Mytilus edulis: one gene and its partners. The protein of the gene in region 2 binds, or shares a complex with, the protein of the main gene of each other region. Links are inferred from orthologs where the notes say so. Each region holds a gene or a part of one and is shown on either strand. Other genes may lie near its edges.

The links.
Region 1: the proteins of integrator complex subunit 9-like (region 2) and integrator complex subunit 11-like are in contact, whole or in part, in a cryo-EM structure (PDB 7SN8), measured with the Drosophila melanogaster proteins. The link is inferred for Mytilus edulis from reciprocal best matches to the Drosophila melanogaster genes IntS9 and IntS11. Residues at the interface, in NP_648838.3 of Drosophila melanogaster: Glu128, Tyr198, Asp199, Glu200, Lys201, His230, Asp333, Ser334, Ala337, Tyr338, Asn340, Ile341, Glu344, Gln351, Val354, Tyr355, Leu356, Pro357, Asp358, Asp359, Pro360, Arg509, Lys510, Leu511, Asp512, Arg513, Ile514, Tyr515, Ile516, Ser518; in NP_651721.1 of Drosophila melanogaster: His94, Lys97, Ala98, Pro135, Thr137, His139, Gln140, Ser141, Glu149, Lys151, Lys274, Thr277, Tyr278, Lys280, Met281, Phe282, Ile283, Thr284, Trp285, Phe294, Val295, His296, Val450, Lys451, Ile452, Pro453, Val454, Asp455, Ala456, Ser457.
Region 3: the proteins of integrator complex subunit 9-like (region 2) and integrator complex subunit 4-like are in contact, whole or in part, in a cryo-EM structure (PDB 7SN8), measured with the Drosophila melanogaster proteins. The link is inferred for Mytilus edulis from reciprocal best matches to the Drosophila melanogaster genes IntS9 and IntS4. Residues at the interface, in NP_648838.3 of Drosophila melanogaster: Arg2, Arg23, Met88, Lys90, Met91, Asp93, Glu96, Asp98, Arg173, Lys176, Asp203, Leu205, Gly206, Gly500, Glu501, Ile502, Arg504, Val544, Lys545, Asp546; in NP_572488.1 of Drosophila melanogaster: Arg105, Leu108, Val112, Thr115, Asp116, Asp147, Thr148, Ser149, Lys153, Glu156, Gln193, Met196, Arg200, His231, Lys234, Gln264, Asp265, Ser266, Arg269, Tyr302.

Annotation. Positions count from the first base shown.
Region 1 is NC_092356.1:73,123,202-73,134,337, reverse strand, and holds the start of integrator complex subunit 11-like, read left to right. Parts: upstream 1-6,936; 5' UTR 6,937-7,009; coding exon 7,010-7,037; intron 7,038-9,368; coding exon 9,369-9,380; intron 9,381-9,939; coding exon 9,940-10,025; intron 10,026-10,519; coding exon 10,520-10,599; intron 10,600-11,136. Other genes in the region: ceramide-1-phosphate transfer protein-like, read right to left, coding at 1,699-2,209, 6,354-6,472. UniProt on the Drosophila melanogaster protein: RNA endonuclease component of the integrator complex, a multiprotein complex that terminates RNA polymerase II (Pol II) transcription in the promoter-proximal region of genes.
Region 2 is NC_092357.1:9,156,749-9,167,594, reverse strand, and holds the start of integrator complex subunit 9-like, read left to right. Parts: upstream 1-6,128; 5' UTR 6,129-6,222; coding exon 6,223-6,231; intron 6,232-8,962; coding exon 8,963-9,090; intron 9,091-10,846. Other genes in the region: RNA-binding region-containing protein 3-like, read right to left, coding at 260-352, 604-710, 1,222-1,269, 4,288-4,416. UniProt on the Drosophila melanogaster protein: Component of the integrator complex, a multiprotein complex that terminates RNA polymerase II (Pol II) transcription in the promoter-proximal region of genes.
Region 3 is NC_092346.1:94,728,318-94,739,658, forward strand, and holds the start of integrator complex subunit 4-like, read right to left. Parts: upstream 4,516-11,341; 5' UTR 4,448-4,515; coding exon 4,394-4,447; intron 876-4,393; coding exon 566-875; intron 1-565. UniProt on the Drosophila melanogaster protein: Component of the integrator complex, a multiprotein complex that terminates RNA polymerase II (Pol II) transcription in the promoter-proximal region of genes.

The DNA of each region.
Region 1 (11,136 bases), on a different chromosome or scaffold from region 2:
ATTAGAGATCATGTTAAGTCAGAGATCCATTGTACAAAAATGGAATGTAACAAGGATTTCACAAAAAAATATAACACTTTTTTATCAATATATAGCATACATAACTGGTTAGTTTATTTGATTCCCTCTTCTGTCAAAAAGACATTTTTATAAATATACAAGTGTATGTTGGTTTTTTTTTTCAGTTGTCACAAATATGTTTTTTTATTTGTTAAGGTAGCACAATACAAAGATTTGTTTACTTCCAATCACTAACCTTTATAATGCTGTAACTTTCTTATGAATGCATAGAAAATAATAAAAGAGGTATGCATAGATAGATAAAAGATTAATCTTTTAAATGAATGCAATATTTTTATTATGCAATCATTATGTAATCAATTATTATGTAATTAGTGGCAAAATCTGGGTAAGTTCACTTGAATGAATTTAACTCTATCATCTCTTTAACTATACAGAAAATTTTAACGAAATCTTAATCAACACATCATGGGCTTCAAAAGGGTGTCTCAGATTGTCTCTATGGTATTCCATTCTCTCATCAATCTCTAATTAGTGTAAACATCCTAACCACATAAAAGAAAATAATGTTTAATTAGGTGTAAAATTTGTTCTATACATTCTATCTGAAATCTGAGACACCCTTTTGTAGATAATGGCCATAGGAACAACATATAATAAAATCAACCCTCTAGGGATACCTATGTAGAAGCTAATTTCATTTGAAAGTGTAAATTTGGTGAAAAATATTTTAGACACAGTTAACATTATAATTGGTTACATGATTGTTGCATGATACTAACATTGCATTAATTTGAAAGAGTAATCTGTTAGCTATTCAAAACTACCACTTTTATAAATTTTCAAGCATTATTAAGAAAGTTACAGCATTTTAAAACTTGGGAGTTGGAGTTATAAAATCTTTGTATTGTGCTACCTTAATATGACAATAAAGATTATTATTATATTCCCTTTTTGACACATTGAGGTTATAAAATAATAATTTTACTATTTTTAAAGAATTTTGAATATTAAAAAAAATATGCTCCAAATATATTCTACCATATTCAAATTTTGATTATTTTATAAATAAAATCTGGATTACAGTAACAATCTGATGACAAATCTGTCATGTCTGTTATAACAAAATTGATCAAAATATTTCTAAAATCAAGTATGATAAATGTTCATCATATCTAGAACTTTAGAAAGTTGACTGGAAATAAACATGAAGAAGATGCATTGAAGAATTACAGTCTCTGACAAGACAAAAACAAAATAATGTGTTTACAGATCTATAAATAGAACAATTCTTATGATGCAATAGATGGTCCCAAAGAACATTGTATTAAGTCTACATACATTTAAAAGTCAAATACTTCTATAACTATTTTTAACTGTTTTGATGTCTTGTTTAAGCTTTTAGTTCTTAGTTTAGTTTATAACATATACATCTGACATTAGAGATATGCTGTATTTCAGCACCTAGACATGCTAGAGTACAGTTTTATACAAGGTTTATTTGTAGTTTTAAAGAATAAACATACAAATTATATCACAATAAGCTTAAATATTGATTCCAAGAACAAAAACATTTTTACAGTACATTACTAGGAGAAAATTACAAACATAAAGGAGAAAAATAAAAAAACAATAAAAAATTAATGTAAATTAAAGAAACTAAAAAAATGTTCTACATTAAGGTAGTCCATGTAGATTTTCTCTTGTGTATATAGCCTCTGTCACATCAAATATCCTCTGCTGAATATCAGCAGTCTTTCCTAAGTACTCCAACCCTTGGACCGGGTCCTTGGCCTGTAATTTCTCTATAAAATGCTTCCTAGTTGGCAGGGTATAAACAGCTACGTGAACCCCCTTTCGTATCAACCATGGATGATGTTTAGACAATGTTGCATCATAAGCCTCCTTTGTAATGTGGGACATCTTCCCGTGTTCGTCAGCTGCTTTCACATCATGCATTAAACGTGATGTAAATTCTAGAGCACGATGAAGTCGTAACAATGTCCTAGATCCTGATGCTTTCTTTTTATTATCTGTTATCTTATTGGCCACTTCATACTTTATCATTTTCTCAAATGTTTCATAATCTGCAGCTTCAGGAGATTTTCTATAGTCTCGTAAAATTCCAACCTTTTCTACAACATCTGAATTCACAAAGCTAAACACGGAACCAAGAATACCGAACAACCTACAAAACAATAATAACAATGATTTTAAAGAAAATTAATAATGATTAATGATCATGATACTTTTGGTTTTAGAACTTGAATTGTGTAAAATTTTGTAATGTCTAGGCTCTAAACTAACATGCTTAATAGCTGACTATATTGAAAAGGTTAAGGTCATTGTTGAAGGTCATATGGTGACTCATAGTTGTTCATTTCTGTTTCATTTGGACTATAATTGTCTCACTGGCAATCATACCACATAAATTCCTCAATTATAACAGGAGTTACTTCCATTAGGCCATAGATTTGACTAAAACATTATAAATCATTTCCAAATAGAAAGATGATAGTATGTATCATAGGGAACATGTGTACTAAGTTTCAAGTTAATTGGACTACAACTTCATCAAAAACTACCTTGACCAAATGTTTTAGAGAACCTGAAACAGGACTGTAAGATAGAAGCACAGACCGAAAAACATTATCCCCATTGTGCATACAAACCAACTTTTCTACTCGAAAAATGGTATGATCCCGCTTTTTGTTTTGCCAGAATCCTGTATCCTACTTGACCCATTTCAAGGCCGTAACTAGGCATCTTATTTTAGTGAGGCAAAATAATTGAGCCGAGCGAAGCTAGGCGAATTTTTTTTTTGAGAGTATGAAATGAATGGTGCAAAATTCTGCATTCTAGGCATTTTTAGAGAGTTTGATAATGTTTTGAATTTGGACACTTTTTATATAAATTTTTCATATTTTAATACTTTTACAAACACCAAATTTTTAACAACTTTTTTAAATTTATATGTACGATAATCATCCAAATATCACTGATTTGAGTCTGCTGCCAGAACATAGAACATACATCGATTCAGTAGAGTTTTCAAAATTTTTCTATGGACGGTTCAATCAAATCGTTTCAGAATCATAATTTGATCTGCTGATATCCTTATGGCGATGAACATGGAGCATGACAAGACCGCACAATCTCTCGCCACTCATGCATGCTCTTTTCCAAGTTTTCAGCTGTTCCAGGGCAGTCTGTGTTTCTAAAGGTAGCACATCATCATCAACACAATGATCAATGTCTTCTTCCAATTCCTTCTCCATCAGCAATTCGGTAGCAGCATCGGTAGTAACAGTTTTGTTTGCAAAAGGGAATTAAGCTTTCCTGTGAGCACCATCATACGTGGTATTTTAGTTCCAGAATCTATAAATTTAGGGGTTAGGGTTTGGGGGTGTCCGATTCCGAAACCCCGAATATAAAGAAATGAAATTCCGTAGTCCCGAATAAGTAAAGACAAAATCCTGTGTTAGAGGTTCTTCGATTCCTCATTGATATCAAATTGGAATATGGGATATTCTTTCAACTTTTAAGGTTAAAGAAACATGGATAAAAACTAATCCTTGCATTCATGATTCATATTATTTATATTTCATTTATCTGTAAAGAGAAAGTTTAAAGTTCGTGAAATGAATAGATTTGTCAAAAGTTGGTGAAACGGAGAAATGAATACGCAGACAGGACTGCCCCCTTCCGAAGACCAGTACTTTATTTGTCAGTCTACTTATCGTGTTTTGATTGTTCTAATGAAGTTATATGCAATATTCAGACTCTGTTCACAAAAAACTAGTTTACTAGAATTATTCCTTCTTTACCTTCCTTTTTCTGCAAGAGCCTGTTTTTAACTAAAGATCCATGATGATTATCGTTACTAGGTTAATGTAATCGAGAAACATCACCCGTTGAGATGCTGAATTATATACAGGAAGAATAGTTTAATAAAAGGAATGATGACAAGTTATAGAAATTAAGGTTGAGACAGAACAACAAATGACTATTATATTTATATATATATATATATGTATTAAAAAAAATAATCATTGTCGAAATTTTAGTGAGGCAATTGCCTCACTTGCCTCAAGGGTAGTTACGGCCTTGCATTTCCATAATAGTGCATGTAATTTCCCTGTGTTCTACCATGTCTACCAGACTTTATTTCCTGTTTTCATGCTTAAGTTTAATAAACTTATATTGAGATATTTATATGATGCCAATTCTTGAAAATCATGAAAACACATGCAACAACAAAAATAAGCGGCTAATATTTCAACAAACTTAAATATACTCTATACAAATACTATTAAGGTAGAAAAATCAATAAAAAAATTCATTTAAAAAAATAGGGAAAATTTCACGAAAATTTCATTGAAGATACTAATCATGCTAATGAACTCCAAATAGATAAAAAAAAATCAGACTTTTCAATTTTCTAGCATTTGCGTAGAAATCCTATTCCTTTTTACACCTTGTTTTAATGTTCACCTCACAGTAATTATAATTGACAGATCAGCAACTCTCACATGTCTGCAGGTTCTTAAATAAACATAATTAAATAGATCAATTGAAGTTCTTCTACACATGTTGTCATTCTGTAGTCTGACCATCAAACATGTACTTGTTAATAAATTAGTTATAGAAACTGGATTGTATTATTACATAGCAAATATATTACACACCTCATTGTCATGCGACTTTGAGTAATTTAGTAACATATACAGGAAGTCAAGGAACACAATACCAATTTCATTTGTAATAATTTGATCTTTGTCTTTGATATGAATAAACATCACCTGAGTGATGATCGCGTTTCTTTGTTTACATTGAAAATGACATCATAACTAAAATAACATCACAACTAAAATCCCTAACAACATGAACAACAGAACCAAAATCATAACGTTAGGTATTTCTGTTTCTTTTTTAACAGATTTTAAAGTAACATGTAAAATATGTCTTAATTAAAAAAAAAAAATAATTCATACGCTCAATAGTCCATTTGCCAATTACCGATTTGATTCTATTATAACACACTTTTTAAACAAATTACTTCCCTTTGTCAAACATAGACTGGTTCCATACGGGACAAGCGTTACCTTTTGCCAATGCAAAGCATGATGAATTGAAAGTGATGTATCGGCGGTTTAACTAATTTATTACGAAAAATAATTTCTGATGTCAAAAGTATTTAGCTGAACAACAAATAAATGTAATTAAAAGATTTAAAAACCTTAAAGATTACTCACATTACGCACAGGTAAATTTTCTCTGTCTGCTCTCCATTGTAAATAAAAAATAATGTCCGTCATAAGGGAGACAACCAAATTAGGGATCTCTAAAAACAGGGTCAATTACGGGAATTGGCAAATAGCTATATAGCCTATTCATACAGACTTCGTACCCTTTCAGAGGTAATGCTAGTCCAAATAATTATGACAGCATAAAAGATTTATTTAAAGTCGGTTATACATATAACAATACAAAATAAGCTCTGTAGAGCTTTTATCCAACATCAGAAGACTAATATGAGGCAGGCATTACCTGTAAATGGGGACGAAGTCTGTATGAATTATTTTTTGTAACTTAAATATTTGTTAAAAAAAAAAGAAACGGAAATACCGTAACGTTTCCGATTTTGGTTCTGTTGTTAGGGATTTTAGTTGTGACGTTATTTAAATTATGACGTCATATGCAATGTAAACAAAGAAACGCTATCATCAGGTAACGTTTTTTCATATCAAGGAATTATTAAAAATGAAATTGGTATTGCGCGTTCCTTCCTATTTTATACTAGACTGATAAATATATATTTTACTCAAAGTTTCATACAAACGAGACCGGAAAAAGAAAGTACATTGTACATTTCTGCGCATGTCCGGGATTTCAAAACATGACATAAAAAAAATTGAACGATTTTGAGTTCATTAGTACAATGAAAAATTTGGGAAATTTTCCCGTATTTTTTTTTTATTGAATTTTCTACTGTTATTGGGGACTCCGTCCCCATATTATAATTTTTTTCTTTGACTCGAAGTAAGGCGAAAATTATAATAGCCTTTCAAGACGTCATAATTATTTGGACTAAGGTAATGCCTGCCTCATATTCATGATATTAAACATTCTGCAAAAAGACAAATGTATATATATAAAAAAAATAAAAAAAAAAATAAGGGCGAACAGACACAGCAGGTATTAGGGCGAACATGCATCAGGGCGAACGGACCCGGATTCCACATATAATCTATTTACATGTCAATTATTGGACTTGAAATTGAGTCGAAAGTTTCTGTAAAAATATAGCCTTGACCATTTAAATAATTTACTTTGATAATTCTTCGTATGCATTCACATATTCGTCCATATCAATCGTGTCGTCATCTTTTATACAGCTATGGAACAACTTATAAAGTCGTTCGATATCAAAACTGTCATGCGATGCCATTTTGTTGGAAATAATATTTTGTTGTCTCTGTAAACAAAGCAAGAGAATCTTGATTAGCCACGGTAAAAAAAACGTTAGTTAAAACGTTGTTGCGATGATAAAGTAAATAAGAATTGGCAGGTTTGTTTCTTTTGAGAGTATTTTATGGTATAACTATTTACAGGATTAGATTTAAAATAGCAACCTGTAACAACCAACCCTTTTAAAACAAAATGACATTCACATACAAAAAGAGCATTAAATTTGTTTGAGTTTTGTTCTATGTTTTGCTTGCTTCATATTGTGTTAATTTCTTGTTTTACATTTCCGTCGTATAATTTTTCAGACATGAGAACGTTGTTGTTTTATATTGTTTAAAATTACAAATTTATTCACGTATCTTTTATGATTCTATAAAAGTACAATCTTTCTAGAACATAACTTGGTTCTGACTAATTTTAGAGCGAATACGGTTAAAGTATTCCGGACGTATCATGCTTCAGCTCAAAAAAGCAGAACTATCTCCCAAATTCATAACATAAAGATAACTATTTGAAAATGACAGAAATTCGAGTCACACCACTAGGTAATTTATGTTGTCATTCCACAATATGTACAGAAGCATTAATCAAATGTCACAGCTTTCTCTGTTACTTGACCAGTGATCTGAGTCCAAACAAAGTTATGAAAATAATTATATCATGCCAGTCAGCAGTTATATCAATACATTGTTTGTGTACCTACCATTGGGGTTATGCGTGATGCAGGATTGGCAGAATTTTTTAAAGCGTGACACGTGAAATAATTAAGCATGAAAACGGGAAACAATGTCTGGCGGGACACCAGTCCAAATAGTTATGACGTCTGGCAAGGCTATTTTAATTTTTTTTCTGGGACGCCTCCCTACGACGTCCCAGAGAAAAATTAAAATAGCCTTGCCAGACCCCGACGACATAATTATTGGGACTAGCGGGACACGGAAATAAAATGCACTATTATGGTAATGAGGATCGCGAGCGGATACAGAATTTTTATTAAACAATAAGCGGCATACACGTAGCCGGGGGGTTCGGACGACTTGAAAACAAATAAGCACTGTTAAAGTCAACTTTCTGTTCGAATTGTGACTGTTAAAGTCGAGTTTGTGATTTGTGAGTCCAAATACCCCCCCTCCCCCCCCCCTTGGAAATTCCTGGCTACCAGGCCTCTACAATAACTTTTTTTTCAACTTGTCCAGTAGGACAAGTACATACCAAAACTTACTTGTCCGAATGAAATTGTAACTTGTTCCAAAAAAATCTTAAGAATAACCTTTTTTGTATTCTAATGCAATTTGGATGTAACAATTTTTTTCATTGGCTAAAAGTTGCCGTCAAATCCACAGTTGACCAGGCGTAACTAAGGAGGGGCCCGCCATTTTGAATTAATAAATCAACAAATGTTCGATTACTACTATATAATCGAAAATAAAACAACAGCTACCTCGAATTCGCCGTTTTAATGTAATTTTATCCGAATTTGAAGCGTACGGGTAAAATAATAACCTCCAGTTTGTAAGTTTTCATTTGAATGACGTCAGGTTTAGCCATGACGTCTTTGTGCCAAAATCATTCATGAAATTTCGTGTATTTTTTTTTATTTGACAAATTTAGACATTTTTTCAAGTTTTATCGCATTTTTTCTTTTTGTAATGCATTAGAATCGGAATAACAGTACTGTAGTTGAAGAGTTGCCACCGTCAATTTTGATTTGACGGACGCAAATATCGTTTTACTGTCTCCGCTACGCGTCGCCAGTAAAACTGCATTTGCGACTGTAAAAATGAAGATGAGTTATCATTGCCAATGAGACAACTCTCTGCAAGAAATTAACTATAGGTCACCGTATTGCAAGTATTGTTTTTTACTACATAGGATCAAATATGATTTAGTGAATTTAAAAAAAAAAATACCGGTATAATTTATTTTAAAGCAACAGAATAAGGTAGAAAAACGATGTACAGATTTGTCTTGGTCCCGATATGTCTGTGTTACCAAACTGTCTATTAATCATGTCTATTAAATATGTCTCGTAGGGTGCCAAACTGTCAATAAAACTTGGAGCCGAATCGTTTCGGAGCTGGTGACAACTGTCTTGTAAAAAAAAAGTTACGTTATCTGCAACTGATTCGGATCAGTAAGACTGGTTTACGAGAATAGTATGTCTTTTACCTGTTAAAAAGTACCTGACAAAGAACCAGTTTTAAATATTTGATTGCAAGTAAACATGTCAAATTAAAACTTTATTTTTCTCTTCTCTTCTTGTTTTATTGTTTATAATTACTTTGTTCATCAAATTTATTTTCTGCAGAATAATTTTACTTGTCCCATCGGACAAGCTTGATATAGCTTTTACTTGTCCGACCTTTTTTTTCCCTGGTACCGGACAATCGGACAAGCGTTATTGTCGAGTCCTGGCTACGGACCTGAGCGGGATTGGAGATCATACCCTACCAATGAGACCCCCTTGTATGGGTTAGGGATAAATTACGAATAATCTTTTATACACAATAAATGAATAAATTGTAATATTTATGTTGATAAAATAGTGCTAAAACAAAGAATGATCTATGTTTATCATGTTTATTGCATTTATTATTAGTTGGTACTCATTGAATCGTTAAAATCAATGTATGCATATACATGTATCATGAATATATAATTTGCACCCCCTTCTCAGAAGTCTCTCCCAGCATTAACATCTGTATACATGTACTATACAGATCCGATTATGGTAATTGAATATGAATACTTTATTTAAAACCCCTTAAATGCCAGATTTGATACTTAATTTGGCATCTGTTTTATGTGACAATATATATAACTTTAACTACTTTTTGTACACGTAAATATAAATTCATTATTTCATTTTCTTGCAGGTGCAGGCCAGGGTAAGTTTAAGAATACTAAACAAGCTGTAAATAGTCAATGGTAGCCTAAATATCTAGCAAGAGATTATACAAAATGTAGATATTTATATACATGTATATAAACATGATAAATGTATCTACAAAATATAATTTTACCAATATTAAAAAAGTGACATTATTTTTAAAAAGAAGATGTGGTATGCACATGATGCATATAGTTGCCAATGAGACAACTCTTCATGACAAGAGACCAAATAACATATATTTAGAGGACTACAAAATTAGACACAAAATCAAATTTCCTGATATAGATGGTATATTTGGAGCTTTTTCTTTGGAATTAATGTCACAAAACTAGAGCCATACGTGAAAGAGGTGCCATTTTTACTAGAAAATACTCAATATATGTATCCATTGGAAACAATGTAATAGTGAACATGACGAATACACTTTTAACCTTACAAAAAAATATTGATTTTAAAAAGAAGTCCTTATGATCATATGACATGCATGATAGACTATTGAAATTTTGCATCAATATTAAATTATTTTATTGCTATTTTATCTTCACCATTTACAGATGTGGGTAGGAGCTGTATCTTGGTGACAATTGGTGGTAAAAACATCATGATGGATTGTGGTATGCACATGGGTTATAATGATGATGTAAGTCTATTATAAAGTTTACTGATTGAAGTGCTTCTCAGTGGCAGATAAAGAAATTTCCATAAAAAAAATCTTTAGAATAATATTGTGCTTGTGCAAAAAGCTTATACCTTTCTGAGATTGTTATTTAATAGCCAAACACTTTGTTCTTCTTCTGATCATTTTCCTGAATTGGTAAAATATATCAGCACATTGTAAGTGTTATGTGGTTATTAGACAGCATTGTTCATAGAAAGAGAATCTAAATATGCATGCACACAAGGATACATTGAAACTGATAGTGACCATAGTTCTGATAAGAAATTTCCTATAGTGCATTATTAAAATGAAAATAATATGAATAATAAAACTTCAAAATACAAACTTTTTAAGGGGCAACATATTGATCTTATTTTAATTAGCATGGTAAATGGTGCATCAGCATAAAGATTCAAGCTATTATGATGCCAAATACTTTAAAATTATTTGTAATCTGATCTCTGTTATAATTACAGAGGCGGTTTCCAGATTTTTCCTACATTACAAAGACAGATGATGAGAGGTTAACAGATCACCTAGACTGTGTTATTATTACGTTAGTATAGCTTTGAGTTAGAATTTAAAACAGAAAAAAACAAATATTTAAAGTTGGTTGACATGGTTGAGATGTAAGCTCAGGATGATTAATAAGGGTGAGCAGCCCATCTACTCATGATTAACAATTTTTTTTGGGGTAAAGATTGCATATAAGGCCAACAAAAAATATGAGTCTGTTTACGGTTACCTGACCAACCCTAGTTTGAGTGCCGACCCTAAGCCATTTTAATTCTGTCCTAAAGTGAAAAATAAACTGAAGCTGTTTCAAGGAAATTCGAGACTCTTGTGATGAAATAAAGGGGTAAATTCAGTAAAAAATCTCCCATTGACTTTAATGCTAATCTATGTGTGGAAATAAATTTATACCTGATTTACCTTTAGAAATTAAAATCTTTCATATATCATTCATGAAAGTACAAATGTAGCCCTATCTTTTGCAACAATAAAAACATAGGGTCATGCGGCATTTTAGGCATTCACATGGCCTTATTTACAAACAATGTAGATTCGCACTGAATTCCTATACTGACCCCCA
Region 2 (10,846 bases):
AATAAAATGATATCCTCCTTGTCCAATATTACAATTATTAAATCATCTAATAAATAACCAACAGATTTTTTTCTTACAAATGTACATTGCCAGACAGGAGTGCTAATTATACAAAACTACAAGTAAGAAATGAGAAAAATGTTAATTCCATAATGTTGTTTACCTTTACAAATTGAAAGTTGTGATTATTTATAAATGCGTATAATACATGAACTTTTACGGTACTTAAAAAGATAAGGTTTATTTGGTATGATCTTACCCCCATTTTTTATACACTGTATCAGCTGAAGGCAGATTCTGTGTTTTATCTTCTGTTCTCTTGTCCAGTTTCTCTTCTGTGACCTTTCTTCCCCTATTAAAGCAATAAAATTATTACAGGACACCTGTTTCAAATTCAATGACTTACATTGTACTATGATTGACCAAAGAAATTGCAGTTGTTGAACTAACATTCACAACATTCACTATGATATTGGTACTTGATGTCAAAAGAATCCTGTTGTGACGTTTGTACATATACAGTCTTTATTCAGATTTCATTTATATAAATTTAAAATAAGATACAGATATAAGAACATTAAATTAGTAGATCTTTTCTCCTACCTTTGGTTGTCTGATATGGATGGGAAATGTTTCTGCTGAGATTTCTTAGCAAATTCTGCCACTAGTTTACATCCTAATACCTCAAGTTGATGCAACCTGTTTAATGCCTGCAAAAAACACATAATTGAATTATTTATTTTTACAAACACTAACATGTTTAACCCCGCCACATTCTGTATGTATGTGCCTGTCCCAAGTCGGGTGCCTGTAATTCAGTGGTTGTCATTTGTTTATATGTTACATATTTGTTTTTTTAACATAAATAAGGCCGTTAGTTTTCTCTTTTGAATTGTTTTACATTGTCATTTCAGGGCCTTTTATAGCTGACAATGCGGTATTGGTTTTGCTCATTGTTGAACACCGTACAGTGACCTATAGTTGTTAATTTCTGTGTCATTTTGGTCTCTTGTGGAGAGTTGTCTCATTGGCAATCATACCACATCTTCTTTTTTATATTTATGGAAATGATGGATATTTGGCAATCAACTATCTGATTAAAGTTCTTAAAGAATCACTCATATACATGTTTTAAATAATTTTGGAACAACACATACACACCATGTACAATTGTACATATTGTTTCATATTTTACATTTTATCAAGTGAAAACAAACAAACCTTAGCTGCATGCATACTGTCTGAGAATGTAACAAATGCTGTATGTTTCTGTAAAAAAGAAAAAAATGTGATTATCAGATGGAAAATATCTATATTAAAAAAAATCCATATATTTAATTTTGTCTTGTATATCATTAATTAACAAAATATGTTCATGAAGCGATTCTGTTATTTTCTGCCATTTGTGTTGCATAAAAAGCTGTTTGTATGTATGTATGTATGTGTATATTTAGACAATATACATATAGTGTCTTGAAATATGAAATTTATTTGTATGAGGCTTAGAAACGGGGGAAATGCGAGGTTCTACCGAGCATTTCCCCTGTTTTGTGCCAAATACAAATAAATTTCATATTTCAAGACACTATACGTATATAGTTTTTATACTGAAATCCATAAAAAATTAAAAATTAAAAAAAAGTATGTAAGGCCAGGATTTTTTAATTTGTTGGTTTACGGATCCGCCAACCCGATTTTGCCGATTTCCAGAATAAAAATAAAATTGACTTTTCATGCTTTTTTATTCCCGCCGACCCTAAGAAATGCATTATCCCTGAAAAATAATTAAAATAATTTTTTTTTATGAAATGAAATGCATTAATCACTAACAAAATTGATAACACTTGCTGTTGTGAAAAAATAAAACTTCCAGTTTACGTTTTTAAATATAGACAAATCAATTATCATAATAACTGACCTTGAAATGTCGTTTGCACAAATAATTTTGCGGAACGAAACTTGTGTTTAAAACCAATTACACAATAAGTTCGTTTTCCTTATTTGTCATCAGTCCGTAAGATGCATCATCTCATAGAAATAGACTTGTCCAAATGTTGATAGGTTGAAGGCATCAAGTTGAAGTATTGAATATTAACAAATCCTTTGGAATTTTCTTGTTTCATAGATAATAAAAAAATTATCGTCCATTTGGATAAAAAACGGGAATGCGAGACAACAGATTGACCCGATAATCTCGTTTTGCCAATGGACGAGTCTATTAGGTTTTTGACACGTGTGTTGAAACTTATTTTCGTACGACGTTTTTACATTTTTTTCTTTATCAGTTTTCGTGCTTGAAGATCATTATTCACCAAGTTTTCTGGAATTGATTAAGAGCTACACGAATCTATTTTTCTTGTTTCTGAAATGACGATTTAATTTCATCTTTGTCCGTGCACCCCCCTTTTTTTTTACTGTAACTTATTAGACAATGTCATGCGATGTTTATAACAGCTGAGCAATAATATTTCATTGAACTAAAATTTAAGAAATGATGATAAAATGGCATAACAAACATATTGTTAGAAAGGTGAAATATATATTGATTTTGCATATTTTTCTGTCTTCAAAGATGATTTTTTTTCTTTTTTTTCCTGACCGACCAACCCGACTTTTTCATGGGGAAAATCCGTAAACCAACAAATTAAAAAACCGTGGCCTAATAAATATTGTAAAAAAAAAAGTGTTTGGAATTTCCCTCTTGGGGTACCATTTTGGGGTATTTCCCTATGACCGTAGTTCAGGCGGTAGGACATTGACATTTTAAGGAATTAGAAAGAAAAATGAACTTAAATAATAACATTTAATAAACATGGTATATAAATTACCAATTTGAAGACAAAACAAGTTTAAATTCATAAAAGTTTGACCATTGTTACTACACATTGTCCTGGTTGTGACGTGACGTTGTTGATGAAATACAGTAGTTCCGGTAAGAAGGCGGGGCTTATAGGTTAGTTGAGGTCATTGACGTATAAAGCTAACGTTTATACGTATAGCTTTATCTGAATAGTGAAATAGCTGATTGCAGTATAAATTATATTATTGTTATACATTTGTATTTTGAGATATTCAAATTAAAGGGCATCAGGGGAGATAAGTATTGCATGTATTGTACTAACTTATTTTTCCTAAATAAAGTAATTATTATAATTACTTGAGTGTGAAATCATGGATCCAAAGTCTTATTGAAACTTTCAAAATCATTATAGTGTTTCATTTTTGACATCTATCATGTGTCTTTATCATGTACTGTGAAAGTATTTTTTTTTGTGGGGTACCAAATTTCGTGGTTTTCGAGGATGGCTTTATCCACAAGTTTAAGTATCCAACGAAATAAAACAACGATTGTCCAAATCAAGACATGGAAAGATACCCATGTAGGTTTGACTACTGTTATATATGATCCAGAGGATATATATTGAATAACGCCAAATCTGAAAATACTATGATAGTAGTCACAGGGCAAATGCACTAGCTATGAACTACAACTGCATGCAGGATTATATCCATTTAATCTTTAATAACCTAAACTGTACAACTTTTGATCTTTTAATTCTCATAAAAATATTTATATTGATGAAAGTCAGATTTCCGGTATTGATAAAGTGTTCATTTTATATTCTCATAGTTCTAGTACATATGGGAAATAAAAATTTCATGCTGGGCTGGATTTTGATAAAAATTATTTTACAATTCAAGATACGTTTATCATGTTTATAGCATTTGTTCATGTTACTGTTTTCTTTAGCATGTTTAGGTGACATGTTTATGGCCTAATTAACACATTTGATGGTCTTTAATTTGTTGATCACTTTATCTTGGGTTAATTAGTGTTGTCACTAAGATTTATAAGGGTCAATGTTTACTAAGCAATTTCCTTCAATCCAGACTACAAATGTAAGTCATGTAAGTGTAACCGTCTATTCTAAAAGCTTCAAATTTAATTTTTTTTTCTTTCTAGAAAACTTAAATCCATGAATTTAAAAATCCATGAACATGTCAATATTGCTGAAACCACGAAAATTGATAACCACGAATTAAAGTACTTTCACAGTATATGAAAGGTGAGTTTATTAGAATTAAAAAAATCTAGGAAAATCTTTCAACTAATAAATATTATCAATAGGAAAAGCTACATACAAATGTACAGATATATGCATTCTATATAAGTATGTGTGTTCTTATTATTGGGAAACTCAGGTTTTTGCATTATTCGCATTAATATAAACCTTGTAATAATGTAAGAATTTACAGTAAATATATTTATATATTTTAAGTAGTCACCATTGCTCCTCTAACGCCCATCACTTTGACCCTAACTGCTCCAAAATGTCTGAGGAGTTCTTCCTTGTCTCCATTGGAGAGCTGTGACGGGAGATGTCTCACCAGAAGTGTATCATCAACACTTGCCATGATCTGAAAACAACAAATACAAAACTAAATAAGTGTGGAACACACATATGTCTGAGGAGTTCTTCCTAAATTCAATTTGTCTCCATTTGAGAGCTGTTTTTAGTCAGTGTTCATGTTGCTTAGTGTTTAGTTTTCTATATTGTGTCTTGTGTAATTTAATTTGCCTATTGATCTTAATCTTTAAGCTATGGCATTGCTCCCAAAAAATAAGTCTGTACATTGAAATTGTATAATGAACATGATGAAACCAATGTGCTGAATGGCCAGCTTAATTGCACAAAAAGTTTGAAGCCATTTTTAGGAGTGAAAATTTGAGAAAGAAAGTCTGTATAAACATGATAAATGTATTTTCAATCCAAAGCCCTTAATTATTCATCGAAATTCAGTGTGCTTAACCAAATGTATCTTGAGCTGTAACTCATCATAACTCATTATTATATATAAGCATGATAAGTAGACTAATACACCAACACTCAGCTAAATATACAGATATATATCAAAGCACTAAGAAAAATAGGCTGTTAAACTGTTATTATACATGCAAAGACATACATAACATAGAAAGTTTGTAGAAAAGTGACATAGGAGTTGAGTTCTACAATCAAGAGAAAGAAACAAAGGCAACAAAGAGTTATCAAGGAATAGAAGAGATGAGGTTGGGTGACAAGACTTTCCTTTACCTTTCCCCATCTGTGAGTAAATGGAATGAAGATAAAAGTGTGCACGCTGACCAGTAAATCTCATCCTCTCTACCATCCGAATGGCAAGGTTCAGATGCAATAATAATTTGGCATGCCTTTTGCAGCCAGACACTTACCACAATAGTAAATTATACTTAACAGGGCTCAAACTACTTCAGAAATAGTAATACATGTAGTGTTCTAGTAGTGCATATTTTAATCATATGGGGACGAAGTCCCCAATTACAGTTAAAATTTTTTTTTTTTTAAATCTAAAATTTTCGGGAAAATTTCCCGAATTTTTCATTCTACTAACATACTAATGAACTCCAAATCGTTAACTTTTTTTCCAGATCTACTTCCGTTTATGGTCTTGTTGGCATGAGACTTTGAATAAAATGTATGTTTATCAACACATCAACAAATATAGGAAGGAATTCAACACCCCATCATTTTTTATAATTGTTTGATATGAAAAAAACGTTACCTGGTTGACAGCGTTTCTTTCTTTACATTGAATATGACTTCATAACTTAAGTATCGTCACAACTAAATCCCTAACAACATGAACAACAGAACCAATATCGGAAACATTATGGTATTTCCGTTTCTTTTATCAATATGTTTGAATTAAAAAAATAATAAAACAGACTTCATCCCCATATACAGGTAATTCCTGCCTCATATTAATATAAGGCCTTAAAACTTTACAAACTGCACAGGTAAGTCTGCACACAGAATAATTTTTGAGTTAAAAATTCTGCCATATTTGTCCATTTGTTATGATGAACCTTATCAGTGTTTATTTCACATGTTTCAATTATCAGATTAGGAGAATTTGTATTGAATTTACCAAAAAATTACCACCTTCTTTTATTCAACAAAGAGCATGAACCATTATTAAAACGTCGCAAACCTTTTGTTTTGTGCACCTAACAAGTATTTTGAAAATATATATCAACAAGCACAATTTCTTCTTTCACTTTGACCGGAAGTTGTTCTCTAAAGCGCTAAATTGATTCTGATCTTCATTTTATAATTCTGTTTCTCACCAAATAAAACACTTTACTGACGCGAGATTTTCCCTCGAAAGTGAAAGAACCACACATTGACTGGAAGACAAAATATGAAGCTGGCAAGTTGATTTACAGATCAAAAACAAAATATATATTTTAATTCAAATCTAAATATCAAACTACCTTTGCGGAGCATGTAAAAAAATATAAATAACAACCTCATAAAAACATATTAGATAGTGGGACGCCTGGAAAGGTATATTTTGATTTCTTTTTCTGTGACACCTTCCTCAGACATAAGAAGGTGTCACAAATAAAAAAGAAATAGCTTTTCACAACATGTTTCAAGACGTCATAATTATATGGACCACTGAGTCTAAAATGAACAAGATGAAGATATGAATGCCCCTTAATACTGTCAGATGTCGAACAGTAATTTCTGACTACCGTTTATCATCATATACACCTTATCGCTAATCCAGGCTGACCCGGCCGCTTGAACTTTTGACGCATACAACAATCACTTTTCCATTGTGGCGTCAGATATTTTGTTTTGTGACGTTAAATTTTTACGGGAACCTGTGTAATATCCAGTAATGGCGGACAAATAGCGATAAGGTGTATTGGTTAAAACTTTATTGTGATTTATCAAAATATCCTTATAGTGGTTTGTCAGAGGTATGAAAACATTATTTTACATGTAGAAAAGAATTAAGCTTGATTCGTTTAAACAAAGTTTTTGATTTTCTTATATATCAAAAAGAAAAGGTTTGTTTTATCTGCACCAACAATTTACTGTTAATGTCATTTTTTCAAGAATTGTTACCATGGTTACTGTCATTTGTCATAAACAGTCAGACGTAAACATGATATGTTAGTCTAAATCTGCTTTTGACTCATAGAGGTCTAAATTTGTAGGTTTCAAGATTCGTCTCCCTTTAATTTAAGACAAATTATGACTTCAATACAGGGATCGAAATTGACGCTGGTCCGGTGAATCAAAACCAGTAGAATTTGTGTCAGACCATTAGATTTTGTCAGCTGGTGGTACAGCTGACCAGTAGAAATTTGTCGATAAAAATCCCTGATTGCATCGCAGTTTCGGTTTGTTTGCTAACAAATTTATCTGGAAATCAGTTTTTGGAAGGACTGCCGGACAAAAAAATAAATAAATGTCATTCAAAAGGAAGATTGAAATAAAGTTTATGAAATTGACAAAAGGAAATGAAATATAAATAATCCTGGGAAGAAATTGTGAATTGTTAAATAAAAGTTAATGTCCCAGCTATTGAAATGTGGAACATTTTTAGGCAGCGCTCCAGACGACCCAGTCAGGCACCCTATGGTCTTCGTGAGGATTGTGATGATGTGGAAGACAATGTTGACATTTTTTCTGTCATTGATTCTGATTTTCATAAAGAAAAGCTTTGAGATTATCAAAGCCTTTATCAAAAACGGGATTGAGATTCTCTCTTTTTCCTGTCTAACATATGTAAAAGAAAGCATGAAAATAAAAAGTAAAAATCTATCATTTATACAGTATAGTCATGTAAGGGGTTGTCAAATGAATGTCATTTTTGCAGGACCAGTAGATTTTTTAGTCCACTGGTCTAACTGGCCAGTACACAAAAAAGCTTTAATTTGACCCCTGGTATTTCAATATGTCAATTATCATGGTTAGTGTTGAGCAAGGAATATTTGACCTGAATTAAAAAGTTGCAAATATTGACTCCTACAAGTAGATAAGTTACCAAAATTAATCATTGTTAATGGTCAATTTCAAAACCCAGGCATACATGTATCTATAAAAAGGTCAAACACCTAAATGAAATTATGACAACATTAAAAGACATTATATATTATGCTAAATATCTTTTAAAGAAAATATGCATGAGAGCCTAAAAAAACAGAGAGGTAATTAGATATAAGAAGATGTGGTATGAGTGGCAAAGAGACAACTCTCTCATCCAAGTCACAATTTGTAAAAGTAAACCATTATAAGTCATAATACGGTCTTCAACACAGAGCCTTGGCTAACACCAAACAGCAAGCTATAACATTTATAAAAGGGCCCCAAAAATGACATGTATAAAACGGTTCAAACGGGAAAACCAACGGTCTAGTCTATATAAAAAACAAGAAACGAGAACATATATTTATTCTGCATAATACTTGTTTCCCCTGAAATAAAAAAGATGTTCCAAATCAGAACACCTTCTAAAATATAAAAAGGGGTGCAGGGTATAAGTTTTTGTATTTATTATAATTTTATATTGACAAGTATTTTTTAAAAACTACTCCGACAATCATTGAATGAATAGAATAGAATAGAATAGAATATTTCTATTTCCCAAATTACAGGGCCCATAAAGGGCAAAAAATCAGATACAATTGATTTACATAATTGGTAACAACAACAATAATAGAGACATATACATATATATTTGGAATATAAGCATTGGTTAGTATCAAGCTAAAAACCACATATATATTGTGAATAAAAGAATAATAAAATTACATTATACATGTATATGTATTTATTCTCAAATTATTTACTTGACCTAGTGTCAGTGTTCATACCTGATCTCCTTAATTCAAATGAATAAAATACTGAGTGGTGATAAAAAAACACATCCCAAATTCAAAATAAATACAGAACGGTTGCAACATGTAAAAGATAAAAAAACTATTCTGAGAAACATTTCCCAGACAACTAATTTCTTTGGAACAACATGATTTCAATGTAAAAATTCAAGAAAGTGATATAGTCAAGTTTTGTCATGGAATATACATGAATTTGATAATCCATCAGCATATAACATACATATTGATATTTTCTTTTAATTACAGTCGTGTTTGTCCAGCAATCCAAGCAAGCCATGTTTTATACTCCACTTTAAAGGTGTAACACTGATGTTAGATTGTGGACTTGATGTTAAAGAAATATTAAAATTCTTACCACTTCCTGTTATACAGAGGTCAGTGTACCCAAATTCTTTCACTTTTTTCACATTTCCCAACCAATTGTGAAGATATCCTTTTTTTTTCTGGAAAATGATGACCCACATTTAAAAAACACAACTAAATTCTGCAAATCTTTGAAAAATCAAGGATACAAATAATTAGAGAAACATATCACACCACTATAACCAGTGATAACCCATGTATTACAATACTTCTCCACTCTCAACAGTTAAATTTTATAAATTTATAAAGCTCTAGTTGTAAGTTTTTTACAAAACCGACTCCAGAACACTGATTTTTTTACTTGTGTTTTAAAAAATGTAAAGCCTTTAAATATTAAAATTCATCTGGCTTAAGTGGAGAAATAGTGTAACACACTTGTAGAATCTATATTTCTCTCATCATGCTCATTGTCGGTGTAAAAATTGGAAACCTATTTGAATAGATTTCCTTTGAAAAAAACTACATTTAAAAAAAAACACACAAGTAAAAGAAACCACTGTTCTGGAGTCAATTTTATAAAAAACTTACAACAACTAACATGACTAAAATAGATCATGAAGAATTCAGTATACTTACAATCAGTCTTTTATAGTTATAACTTTTTTTCTGCAGTCTTCGTGTGTTACAAAAGAGTGGCATAAGAATTAATTATCAAAGGGGTATTCAAAATCATAAATTAAAAACAAACAGACAACACCATGGCAAAATATGAATACAAACTTTATGGTCTACAAAACATAACATAGAAAATCAAGGACTGAGAAACACAAACTCTGCACGATCTTGTCCAATATAAACACTTGCACAAAAGAAACCAAATATGACAAAAAATACATTGGATTTAGCAATGTTTAGGGTCAGTTTTAAGTGTCACAGCATTGAAAACAAGTTATTATACATTGCCTATACTATCATAATTCCATGACTAACAAACCAATCTAAAAACTTCCTAGTTCTATTGAGATGAACATTGGACATTTTTTCACTGTTACCCAACCGCACAATAACCGGTTTAGGTGTTGATTCATCTTGTTCAAATTCAAGTTTACTTTTTACTGTGACCCCCTGCATCTGACAGGATCCACCTTTGCCACACTAGCGTTGTACCTAACAACCAACCAGCATGGATGAAAACTGGACCATTTAAAAAGTTCTCGATCCGTTCCCGAAAATTATCAGATACGAGGAAAAAAGTTTAGGAGGGTTTGGGAAACAGAAGCAACCACAGAAACATACAAATAAGAAGCAGTCTATCACTGAAGATTAACATACCATACATAAGTACATGAAGTCAAAATAATTCGGAATACCAGGCATTTTCAACACAGGGAGAAAAGTGTGCACCCAGAGGCGGACTTTCAGCTGGCCCCTAAATGATAATGTAGACTTAAGGTAGATCATAAGTAAATATTTTTTGAGACAGAATTTGTTTATACTTAGCCAGAATGAAGATTTTAATATGCTCTTTTCAAATATATAATAAAAAGGAGGGGTCACCGTGTTATTTTTCAAGCTATGAGTCGTTGAAAATTGCCTAAATTTGGTTAGATTGTTCATGGGAAAACACATTTGTGTGCATAAAAAAAAATCTATGAGATAGAATTTTGAAAAAAATTGTGAAAGATAGGTTTTGTAATATGTTTTAAGAAAATAAAAAGAAAAAATGGTGTCACCGAACTTGTTTTCTTGCTACAAGTAAAAAGAAAAAAATTCCCTATCTGTCCAGTATAGATTTTTTACTAAAAGAGTTATCTTCCCTTAAATGGC
Region 3 (11,341 bases), on a different chromosome or scaffold from region 2:
TTAGTTATTAATTTCTGTGTCATTTTGGTCTCTTGTGGAGAGTTGTCTCATTGGCAATCATACCACATGTACATCTTCTTTTTTTATATTGTCAAATTTAAAACTTAAATCAGAGTCTGAAAGTAAGACCAAGACCATCATGATCATATTATATTTAAAGTATTGACAAGGTAATTTGAGTACTCCTCACATGTCAGAAGGTGTGTTTAATAGAGTGTAATTGAATCTGGATATAACATCTTGTATACATGTACATGGTCAATGTACATGGTCAATGTATATATACATGTTACAAACATGTAGGCAATAAATGTAAAACACATAAGTACATGTATCTTCTCTAATCACAAGCACACTGACTGTTTTCATGGTTTTACCCTAAACATGCTGAATATAGTAAATACCATTTTTAGATGAAAACCTAAAATATAAGTGAACTTACATGTACATGTATATCAAAATGGATAGGGCCTGGGGGATTGGATAAAACCCTGGGACTATTGCCACACTGCAGTGACTGCACCAATGTTACAGGGGAGAACCTACAGTATATATCTTTACTTACTTTCTGTTTTCAGGAGTGATATGATTTCCTCCACTATAGTATCTGCAGCACATTGTGGGTGTTTAGACAACAATCCTAGGATGTGTGCAATCTTCCATCTAACAACTGATTCCTTTTCTCTGTGATAATGGTCTACCAACTGCCTAACAATATTTACAGCATTTTCTCCAATCTGTGACAACTGACGTTCTAAGTGTATTAGACTACTGACTGCTTCTTGTGTGCTGGTCCCTACAGTTAGATCAAGGTGGACTTCTGGCAGTAGTGGTTTCTGGACTAACTTTAACTTTTTGATAGGTCTAGGTTCCTCCTTTAAAAGAAAAGATAAAACCACATATATATAAATAAGTGAATAACTTAATTGATTGATCATTTTGAAGGAATTAAGTGATCTTAATTTTAATATTCATTTCAATAAAGAATCTATTTTTTCGTGTTTCAATATTACAGGGACATTGACATGAAAATCGGGTTAGAAAGGAAAATTTCCATTATCCTGATTATCCATTTTACATGTAGCAGGTTGAAATTACATGTCACGGTAGCCAACTTGATTATCTGAATGGACAGGTTAAAAAGTGATTCTAGCATATTAAACTCATAAACCATGTGTAATGAACAGTCAGGGGACTTACTGAAATAAGTGATTTTTAAATCACTTATTCGAGTAGCAAATTCAAAGTTTTTTCACAAAATGTGATTTTGTAGTTTTACCAAAATTTAAAACACATAGGTTTAAATAATATCTTTTCCTGAGTAAAATTGAAAAAAATGTATTTTTTGCTTCTTTAAGTAGCAAGGTTTATACCTTTGATGCTATCATTTAGCTGCAAATTCTATTTTAGTTGAAAAAAAGCTATAATAATGGCTTTACCTAATGAACTAATACTTTCTTAACAGATTTTTCCCAGCAGTTGGAGTATTTTTCCTGTAAAGTTCAAGGTTTTATCTTTCAGATTTCACTGTTCGGGGGTGTTGAAATTAGTGGGGGTTATTAGAAATAATGATACTTAAAGAAGTGACTTTTGAGAAGGAAATTGAGGTATGATACTTAAACAAGTGATTTTTATGTCATTATCCTAGATTCAGTACAAGGTCATCACCTGAAATGACCTGGTCATCCTAGACAACACAGATGTTGGTTCTGATAAGTTTAGAAACATAATTAGTCCCTGGAAAATTAGTAATCTATATATATATTTAAATCTACAGTAAAATTAAATCACTTCTTCTAGTGATTATTTTGTACTACTTAAATACATGTAGGTGATTATTAAAGAAAGGCAACTATTACTTCCAACCTTTATGGATATAATGTTACTTGAATCAGTGATTTAGAAAATCACTCATTTAAGTAAGTCCCCTGACTGATGAATTGCCTTTGATAGTCTAGTAATTTTTTTTTTAATTTGATTCTTTTATATATTTCAGAGTTCAGTGTGATGTGACATCCATTTTTACTGAATTTATACACATTAGTGTTTAGGGGCCAGCAGAAGCCCTCATCTGGGGGCAGATGCAGGATTTTCTGGTTGTGTTGACGACACAACGGTGGCCATGAGCTGTTTTCTGCTGGTTACAGGTACCTCAAATGACTGAATAACACTTGAAATTTTAATACTAGCACATATTAGTGACTTTTATAAATTGATTATTAAATAATAGTATATTATCAATGTATTTTATAACTTATAAATGATTAACAGAAAGCAGATACAATGTAAGTTCATAAAAAACTTTTTAAATTAAGTGTGTACATCCAATATGATGAGCACAGAAATCACAATCGCTGACGTGTTCGATGTACACATTAAATTTAAAACGACCTTTATGAACTTATTTGATTTCTGTAAATCATTTTAAAGTTATAAAAAATCGATAATATATTATTATTTAATAATCATACCTGCCAACCTCTGAAACCTTCAAAGAAGGAGATCTCCCTCTAAGCTATGACAGCTGAAGGGGAGATTTTGCACGAATGACATTTCCAAGTGACATATATATACAAATGTATGACCTGTTTATTTATTCTTCTTAAAAACACATATAAGAGTTTATCATGTTTATAGATCTACTTATTTTTTTTTAAATATGGTTAATTCTATATATAGTATGTTAATTTGTTTTTTTCCTTTTCATCATCTTTTCAAATTAGCCTCTCATCAGAACAGCTTTTCAGTCAAGATCTGTACATTTGTATCCAGTGTTTATTCATGGAGCAGACAACAAATGGAAGTTTTTAACAACCTTGACTGGCTATACAGCCCTCGCACGGTCGGCTCAGTGCTCGAAGCATTTGGTGAGCATTAGAATAATTTAGTGCCATCGGTCAGGAACAGGTGGTGGTCGCCATTTTGGAGGTCGCCATCTTGGTTTTATGAGATGCTTTGGTTTGGTATGTTTACTATTTTGATGTTCTTTCTTCACAACGGCGGCTTTCAGGGCCAGTTTGGTCAGCTTGGCAGCCATCTAACCCCGATGATAGAGTACTGGTAGATGAGTCTTGGACGTAGTGCTAAAGATGACAGGAAGCATTATCAGGACCAAAGCCGTTAGGCAGTGAAATGAAGGTCAATCATCTAACACCTAGGATACAGCCCTTGGACATTATTCGGCATAACACTCCCCCATCTACAATGGGTTTTGGAATGCATGTTAACGCGGGAATATGCCAACTTCTACGTTTACTGTCATACCTGTCAACTCACCCGTTTTTTGCGGGTGACACCCGTTATTTTCACCTCTCACCCGGGAGTTTTTCTTTACCCGGCGGGTCCCGGGAATTTCTAACATTACCCGTTTCACCCGGATTTCTGACCGGAATTGTTTCCGGTATTTAGAAGTAATACGACCTTCGGTTTTATCGGTCTTTTTCAATGTAACCAAAAGTCAAAATGTAGGACTGTTTACCTGAGCTACGTAACGATATGAAGAGACAACACAGCTACAAGATGAGTTCAGTGACTATCAGTTGACCCCATTAGATGAACTTCCACTTTGCACTTCCCCTGAAACTGACATTGGTACATTTTGGGGAGAAATGTCCAAGTTGCATGACATTTTTATTAACAAGCCAAGATTTTTTGTTTTGTCAAAACTTGCTAAAACATTACTGGTTTTGCCAAACAGCAATGCAGACAGTGAGAGGGCATTTTCTTTAGTAAAGAAAATAGCTACAGAGTTTAGGGCTGATCTTAATAAGGATACACTGTGTGCTCTTCTTTCTTGTAAAATGAATACACATTTGCATTGCTTTGAACTGAAACCAAGTGCAGTTCTTTTAAAGAATGCCAAGTCTGCTACTATGGAATATAACAATAGTCTGAAATAAACTTGTATACATGTTCTAACTGTTTCATATACATATTGACTATATAAATTATATGTAAACATATTTTTGTTCTTCAATTGAGCCCGCAAAATGTCGTACGCCTTATGACCTGAGATTTTTTTTCTCAATGCAGGTCATGACCTGACTTTTCATTTTCAGAGGTTGACAGGTATGTACTGTACAGCGTTGGATTAGTTTCTGTCATCTAAAGTAGTAGCTCATCAAAGATAGCGGGTAAAGGAGAGCAATGAATTACAGTCTTCACAAATTGATCTGTTTATATTGTGTGCTATGTTTTATCTAGTGCCTTCGAATTTATCTTTAAAAGTTATCTGATATTAGATTTTGACATTATTGTTTACATCGGTAATTTTTACAGATACACAACTTGTAAAAATATACCTCTGACGAGTTGTTAGCTAAGTACAACGGATATAATTGTAACATAGACAATATCAGTTGTAAGAAGTTAATGAAAAATAAAAAGCAATAACCTGGATAACTTGGCTAAATTCGGCAACAGCCCTTTTCTTCAGCAAAGCTGCCATTCGGAAGTGGTGGGAAAATAATAACTATCAACAAAACCGGTAAGAACTTAAATTTCCGTATTTTAAAATTATTTTTTTTTTAAATTTAAAGGCTTTAAAGTGCCTGTGGACTTTTGCAATATTTGTACCACATAACATTGGTTATTCTTTTTGTAAACAAAACTGTTCCTTATCATATTTATAATATATATATATAACCAATACAGTGTCAAAGTGTAGAAATTTCTTACATTAAGTAATTTCTTAGGCTCTTTGGGTTGAGGGTTTGGGTGTGATTATGAAAATTATTGAATACAAGGGTTTCTGCATATAATAAGCAGTTTCAGGCTATCTCGGTTGATAAAAACCATCATACAGGTTGTGTTTGATTAAATGTTATTTCTATTTCGTGAGGTTAAATAACTATGAGTTACAAAATGAATTTATATTAAATTGAACTTCAATTTTCATATTTCTAAGTTATTTGTGAAAAAGGCTGCAAGGCAATTAAAATGTTTCGAACAGAATTGGGAAACACATGAACAGCCTCGGTAAACATCATAATTTATCATGTCTAACTGAAGTTATTGCCCTTTGTCTTGTGATTTTTGGGGAATAGAAAAATTGAAAAACACTAGAGCATGCGATTTACTGAATTATTCAACGCATAAATTACGCACAATTGCCCTGGAGATATTCGAATTGACTTATAAAAGAAAATTTATGTGTCCAAAATCACGTTATTGAATACAAAAAACAAACAAAAAACTTTTTTCCTCCGATATATATACTGCTGAGGTCACGAGACCAAAAATGTAAACTTATGACTTTTAGATTTGAGACAGACTGAACCATGCAGCATAAATACCCCTTCAAAATGAGACCAGAGCTATGACTGCTTTTGATTTAAAAAAAATATCTTGGTGATGGGGACAAAAATGTTATTGATGTGAAAACCGTTTCAATCTATCAATTGCAGTGCTGCGTCAGGCTGAAATTTCTGTCTTTTCTGGTCTTTTGCTTTTTTTTTTGCATTATATTAATACCTGATTTTAAATCCCAGTGCGTAATTCCTTTTAACAAGACGCTTTTTTGGTTTTGTTAGCATTTTTTTATATTTCAGAAATCGCTATAGTACCCGCTAAGAGTTGGTGCACATAGAGCGAGGAGCTCGACTCATGGGCATGCATTGACATTGGAGGTTCAAAGATAAAGAACGAACCCTTTATAGGTTTTCATTACATTAGCATTCCGTTTTGTATATTATTTGTATTTTACATGAAGCTGTATAATTGTTATGAACATATCACAACTTTCAATGAAATTTACTTTGATAATTACGAAGGCAATAACAGATAATAAAGAAAATCATGTATCTAAGACTCAAATGTCAATCAGTACACGTCCAACATCCAATATATTTAGTATAAAGACGTCATTAACAGTCAGAGAAAAGCATGACCTGTCCATTTTGTAAAAAGAGAAAACATTTGACATACACAAACATAGTTATACACAAGACCAAATATTTTAAAGTTTGGATTATTCTAATTATTGCTGTCATTAAAACTGTGTGTACTTAACCTTTAACCTTTTTGTGGTTCTGTTGCTTATTTTTTAATTTTTGTTTTCTAATTATATTTGATTGTTCATTTAATAAATTGTACAAATGTATTTCTACAAAACCTTGTCAATATGATATCAAAAATTAAATATATACTGACATACTAAAGAGGATCTTCAGTTATGGCACCTCCAATCGAAATGTTTGGTAGTAATTTGCCATTTTAGCTACTATGTATGTATAAATAATATTTTCTTTTCTCGTACATAAAACAAATTTACAGTGGAAATTGTCCTTACCCCTTTTATACTTTCAAAAGTGGTTTTTATGTTCTTGCGTGCCTTCGTATAAAGCATGTCGATCATCTTCTTCCCGGTTATGAAAGCATCCCGTCTTTCTTCAGATTATCAAATAAAGTAAACATAGTTTTACCATTAACGTCATTAAAAAAAACAAGAAAAAAAGGAACAATTCCTGCCGTTGACAATAGATCAAGCAGTGGTATATAACCATGTTTGTGCCTTTCAAGTAATTCACGGATACATATGGGGATATCAGCGTTCATATCTGATAAATATCAGGACACGGAAGTGTCATACATTTTACAACTAAATAACTTTTATTAAAACTTTAATAGTGTTTTCTAAACAGAATTGATAATTTATGCACACAGTTTATAGTTAAAAACCTGCGGTTTAGCACAACGAATGCACGAATTTATAAAGTGTAATTTTGTGAATCAACACAATGAACAAAAATATGCTTTGATTTGTCAAAACAATTTAATAATAGTTATAGCTTTTTAAAATACAATTTAGTTTTATTTTATAAGTTAAATTATAACTTCAGTTGCTTGAAATACTATACAAACCTAAATGATAGAAGTTCAACTTTCAATTAACAGTGACATGCAAAGTAAAACATTAAATCAACAGGACCACACGTAGTAAAACTTTAAACAGGCAAACTGAAACCTAAAACCAACAGGAATATGCATAATAAAACCTTAATAAACAGGTGCGCCACGAGCGCATGATATGTCCTTCGTCTTGTGTGTGACCCCCCTTTAAAAAAAAACAACCTTAATAACTCTTAAATACAATTTTGAATTATCACCAAAAAATTATACAGATCTTTAAATAGATAAAGATAACAAACAAGTGTGTAAAGTTTTAAGCAATAACCATAAATCGTTTTTGAGATACGGCGCGACATGTGAAAAAATCATAGTTGTTTCAAATGATTTTTTTCACATGTCGCGCCGTATCTCAAAAACGATTTATGGTTATTGCTTAAAACCTACTCCTTTAACTGTTGAGGGTGGAGAAATATCATAATACACGAGTTACAGTGGTGGAATCTGTTTCTCTAATGATTTTTATGATTTGAGGAAAGTGTATAACGATATATTTCTCCTATCTAAATTTTGATATTTAAAGCGAGAAGCTTGCCGAACTTTCTTAATAATTAAAAGGAGTAGGTCCGGTAAGGGCTGATTTTGGCCTCAAATTTCATGTTCATCTGACGAAAGATTTTGGACATTTTTTAAACACTTAAGTGTCTATTTCAATTGATTTGTTTAGTTTTTGTGAAAGTGTTTTTTAACTGATTTAGTCATTAAAAACGCTCCGATTCAAGCTTAAATATGGAAAATTTAGAAATATGCCAAAAAACGTCACTTTTTAGATGGTTTTTGTCAAAAATGAAAGTGGCCGCATCCGTGTTCATCCTCAACCTTTATATATGTTATGTATTATCATCAAATACAACTTACATTTCAATATTATGAATGAACACGAATGCGGCCACTTTCATTTCAGTCAGACGGAAACCGTCTAAAATTTAACTAAAATGCTAAAATTGTGTAGATTTCAGTAATTTAGCATGACTAAATGATGCTAGTACCCGATATGTGTACATTGTATTGTCAAAAACAGCCTATATTTATGTAGCAGAAGCATTCTACTTTCCATTAAATAGCTAAAAGATAACAATTTCATAATTTTGTAAAACTGCTATATTTTGGGGCCAAAAAGGGGTCTTACTGAACCTACTCCTTTAACTGTTGAGGGTGGAGAAATATCATAATACACGAGTTACAGTGGTGGAATCTGTTTCTCTAATGATTTTTATGATTTGAGGAAAGTTGTGTACTTTTGGTGTGACGTCATCAGGCATGTTCGCCTTTTTCATGACGTCACAATAAACAAATTTAGAAGAAAACAAGAAAATTTAACGTCATAATTAAATTTCAACCAATCATTTGCCGTGAACAGATTTTTCACCAGTGAGGAAAAATATGTTTCTCACACCGGTCAGAAATGTGAAAATAGCACAAAAATTAGAGAAAAGTGGTTCTAATAAACTTTATTTTGATTCGACATAAGTACAAATAAGCAGCACAAGCTCTAAGGAGCTTTTGATCGAATATAAAAACATATAAATAACATAAAAACAGTCCATTTTGACTTATAAAAAAACCTGTAATACAAAGTTGAAATCTCACATACTTACATAGCATATCTCAAGTTACAGTGCGACATGTGGACGTCGGACAGACAGACAGACGAACAAACAGAATACGTCCCGTAATTTTGACGGGCGTATAAAAACAAAAAGGACATGCATTGTATTAAAAACATACACCAACAGAAACATGATTAGTAAAACTTTCACTGAACCAACAAGGACACGCATAGTAAAACCTTCAACCAACAGAGACTTGCATAGTAAAACATTTAAGCAACAGACAAAGGCATAGTAAAACCTTAAACCAACACTGAAGGACAAGAAAAGACATCCTTCAAACAAAAGAGATATGCATATCAAAACCTTTAATCGACAAGGACACTCATAGTACATGTAGTAAAACCTTCAACCAATAGAGACATACATAGTTAAACATTCAAACAACAGTGACAAGCATAATAAAACCTCCAACCAACAGAAACAGACAAATTAAACCTTTGACCAACAGGAACATGCATAGTTCAACATTAAACCAATCGTAACATGTTTTATAGTAAAACCTTCTTTAACCAAAAGTCACATCAAAAACCACTACCACATGCAGACAATTTATACTTACAATATACTTGCATTGTCGGAAAGAATATATATAATGAAGTATTTGTATGAGTTTTCGAAAGGGAAAGAAGAAAAAGCTAGATTTGTTTCATATCTGAACAAAACAGAAATTGCCTTATCCTTGCTACATGAAGGATTGTATGATACAATACTGTATTCGATACGTTTATTAGTATCCCTGTTTTGTGAGAGACAACGTTAATTTATACCAAAAAAAAATAAATTTCATATCTTAGTTATCAAGAGAAACATATCGAATACAATTGTTCTTGACATCAATTTTATAGTCATTAACCTTGAAAAATGTTGCCACTTCAACGCAGTTATTGGTAACAGTACACAATCTTTAACCATTGGAAAGTCCAATTCCTGCTTCATTTTGGTATTAACCATGAATATTACCACTTAATCACACATTTCTCAGATTTGTTATATACTATGAGCATACATGTCAGTTCATCGGCATTATAGATATTGATATAACTGGAAAGAAATATTGTCTTTCCGAGATATCCATCTAACACTCCGTTTTATGGTTAATTAGAGAACTGCTCAGCTGCTTCAGACATTCTGTAATGCATCTTATTCTATTTAATTATTGCAAATATTCCCTAATGTCTGATTTTATGACATACAAGTCCCCTCAACCACTTTAACATGAAATAAGCATCCCCTAAAACCAATTAAATAACAAATTAAGGAAACAAGATTTATATGAAAATATACATTTTCAGATCAGTTTCATTTTGGTTTATTGACAATTAGATGAATTCTTTCGTTGATTGGGTTTTCTATTTTATCAGTATTTATTGCTTCTTTCAGTCGCCATTAATAAATCTGTTTATTAGCATTGTACTCTTCATTAACAAACATTGTATTGTCACCCGATCAAAACCATCAAAATATATTCAACACTTACAGTTACAACAGGAATCAATTTTAATTTTCATTCAAAGAACGTATTTTAAAAACTGAAAGACTGTCCAACGTCGTTTATTTATATTCCTTATCCTAGTTCTATAGAACTTTAAAAAACAACATCAAAATGGCAATATAGTTAACCCGCCAAATTATGTATAATCATGTAGTTGCCTGTCCCAAGTGAGAAGCCTATTATTCAATTGCTGTCGTTTGTTGCTATATATCATATTTGGTTTTCGTTCATTATATTGTACGTAAATCATGCTATTAATTTCTTGTTTGGATTGTTCTACAATAGTCATTTCGGGGCCTTTTATAGCTGACTATGCAGAGTGGGGTTTTCGCATTGTTGAAAACCTATTATAAGTTGTTAATTTCTGTGTCATTTGGTCAAGATCGGTAGGGTAATATATTTTCAAATGATCAATTTTGACTGCACTTTTACAACAAAACAATAATAACTAAAGATGTCGTCAAATAAATTATTTTCTACCTCACCGGTTACTCGAATCCTTTTTCGAGTAATTAACCATTTAACCGGTATATAATAGAATGATTCAATCAAAATGTTCAAAGACTTTGTCTTCAGAACTTTGCGAAAATAAATCATCGTTATATGATGTGATGTATTGAAGTTTTGTCTTTTATATTTACATACTTTCCTAGACCATAGATGTATTGATCATTTTTGTATATGACTGGACAAATGTAAAACTAGTATACATACACAGAATTTGAATTTCCCAATCAAATATGACAAAGACCTTTCAATTTTAATGATTGTCACTTGTTTACATTCATAAAATATATATGCATATAGAATATTATATAATATAAAAAAGACGATGTGGTATGATTGCCAATGAGACAACTCTCCACAATTAAGAGACCAAAATGACACTTATTGGATAAGCAATAACTATTAAAGCAATTAGGGTTTAATATAATAATAAGCTTGATAATATCTATTTGACCATCACGTAAGCAACTAACGCATGCATATCGACTCAATTTTCCAGACAGGAGATATATCATTAGTTGGTCAAATGTATCACACGTATATACAGATCTATTGTGAACATGAATTTTAAATCCATTTACAGAAAGTATTAAACATGGTAATTCACATACAAACAACATGATCTTAATATTTATTTGACAAATACTCTGAGGTATTGCCCTTCAATTCTGTATGTTAGATCTCGTAGATCATATGACCAGACTGTTGTTGCGCTAAATTATGACATCCTTAAGCTGAACCTTAATTCTCTCCGCGCCAGAAGTCGCATAAGGCCTCCACACTGCTTTTCCACCCTTTTCTATTTTTTGCCGCTGTTCTGGCT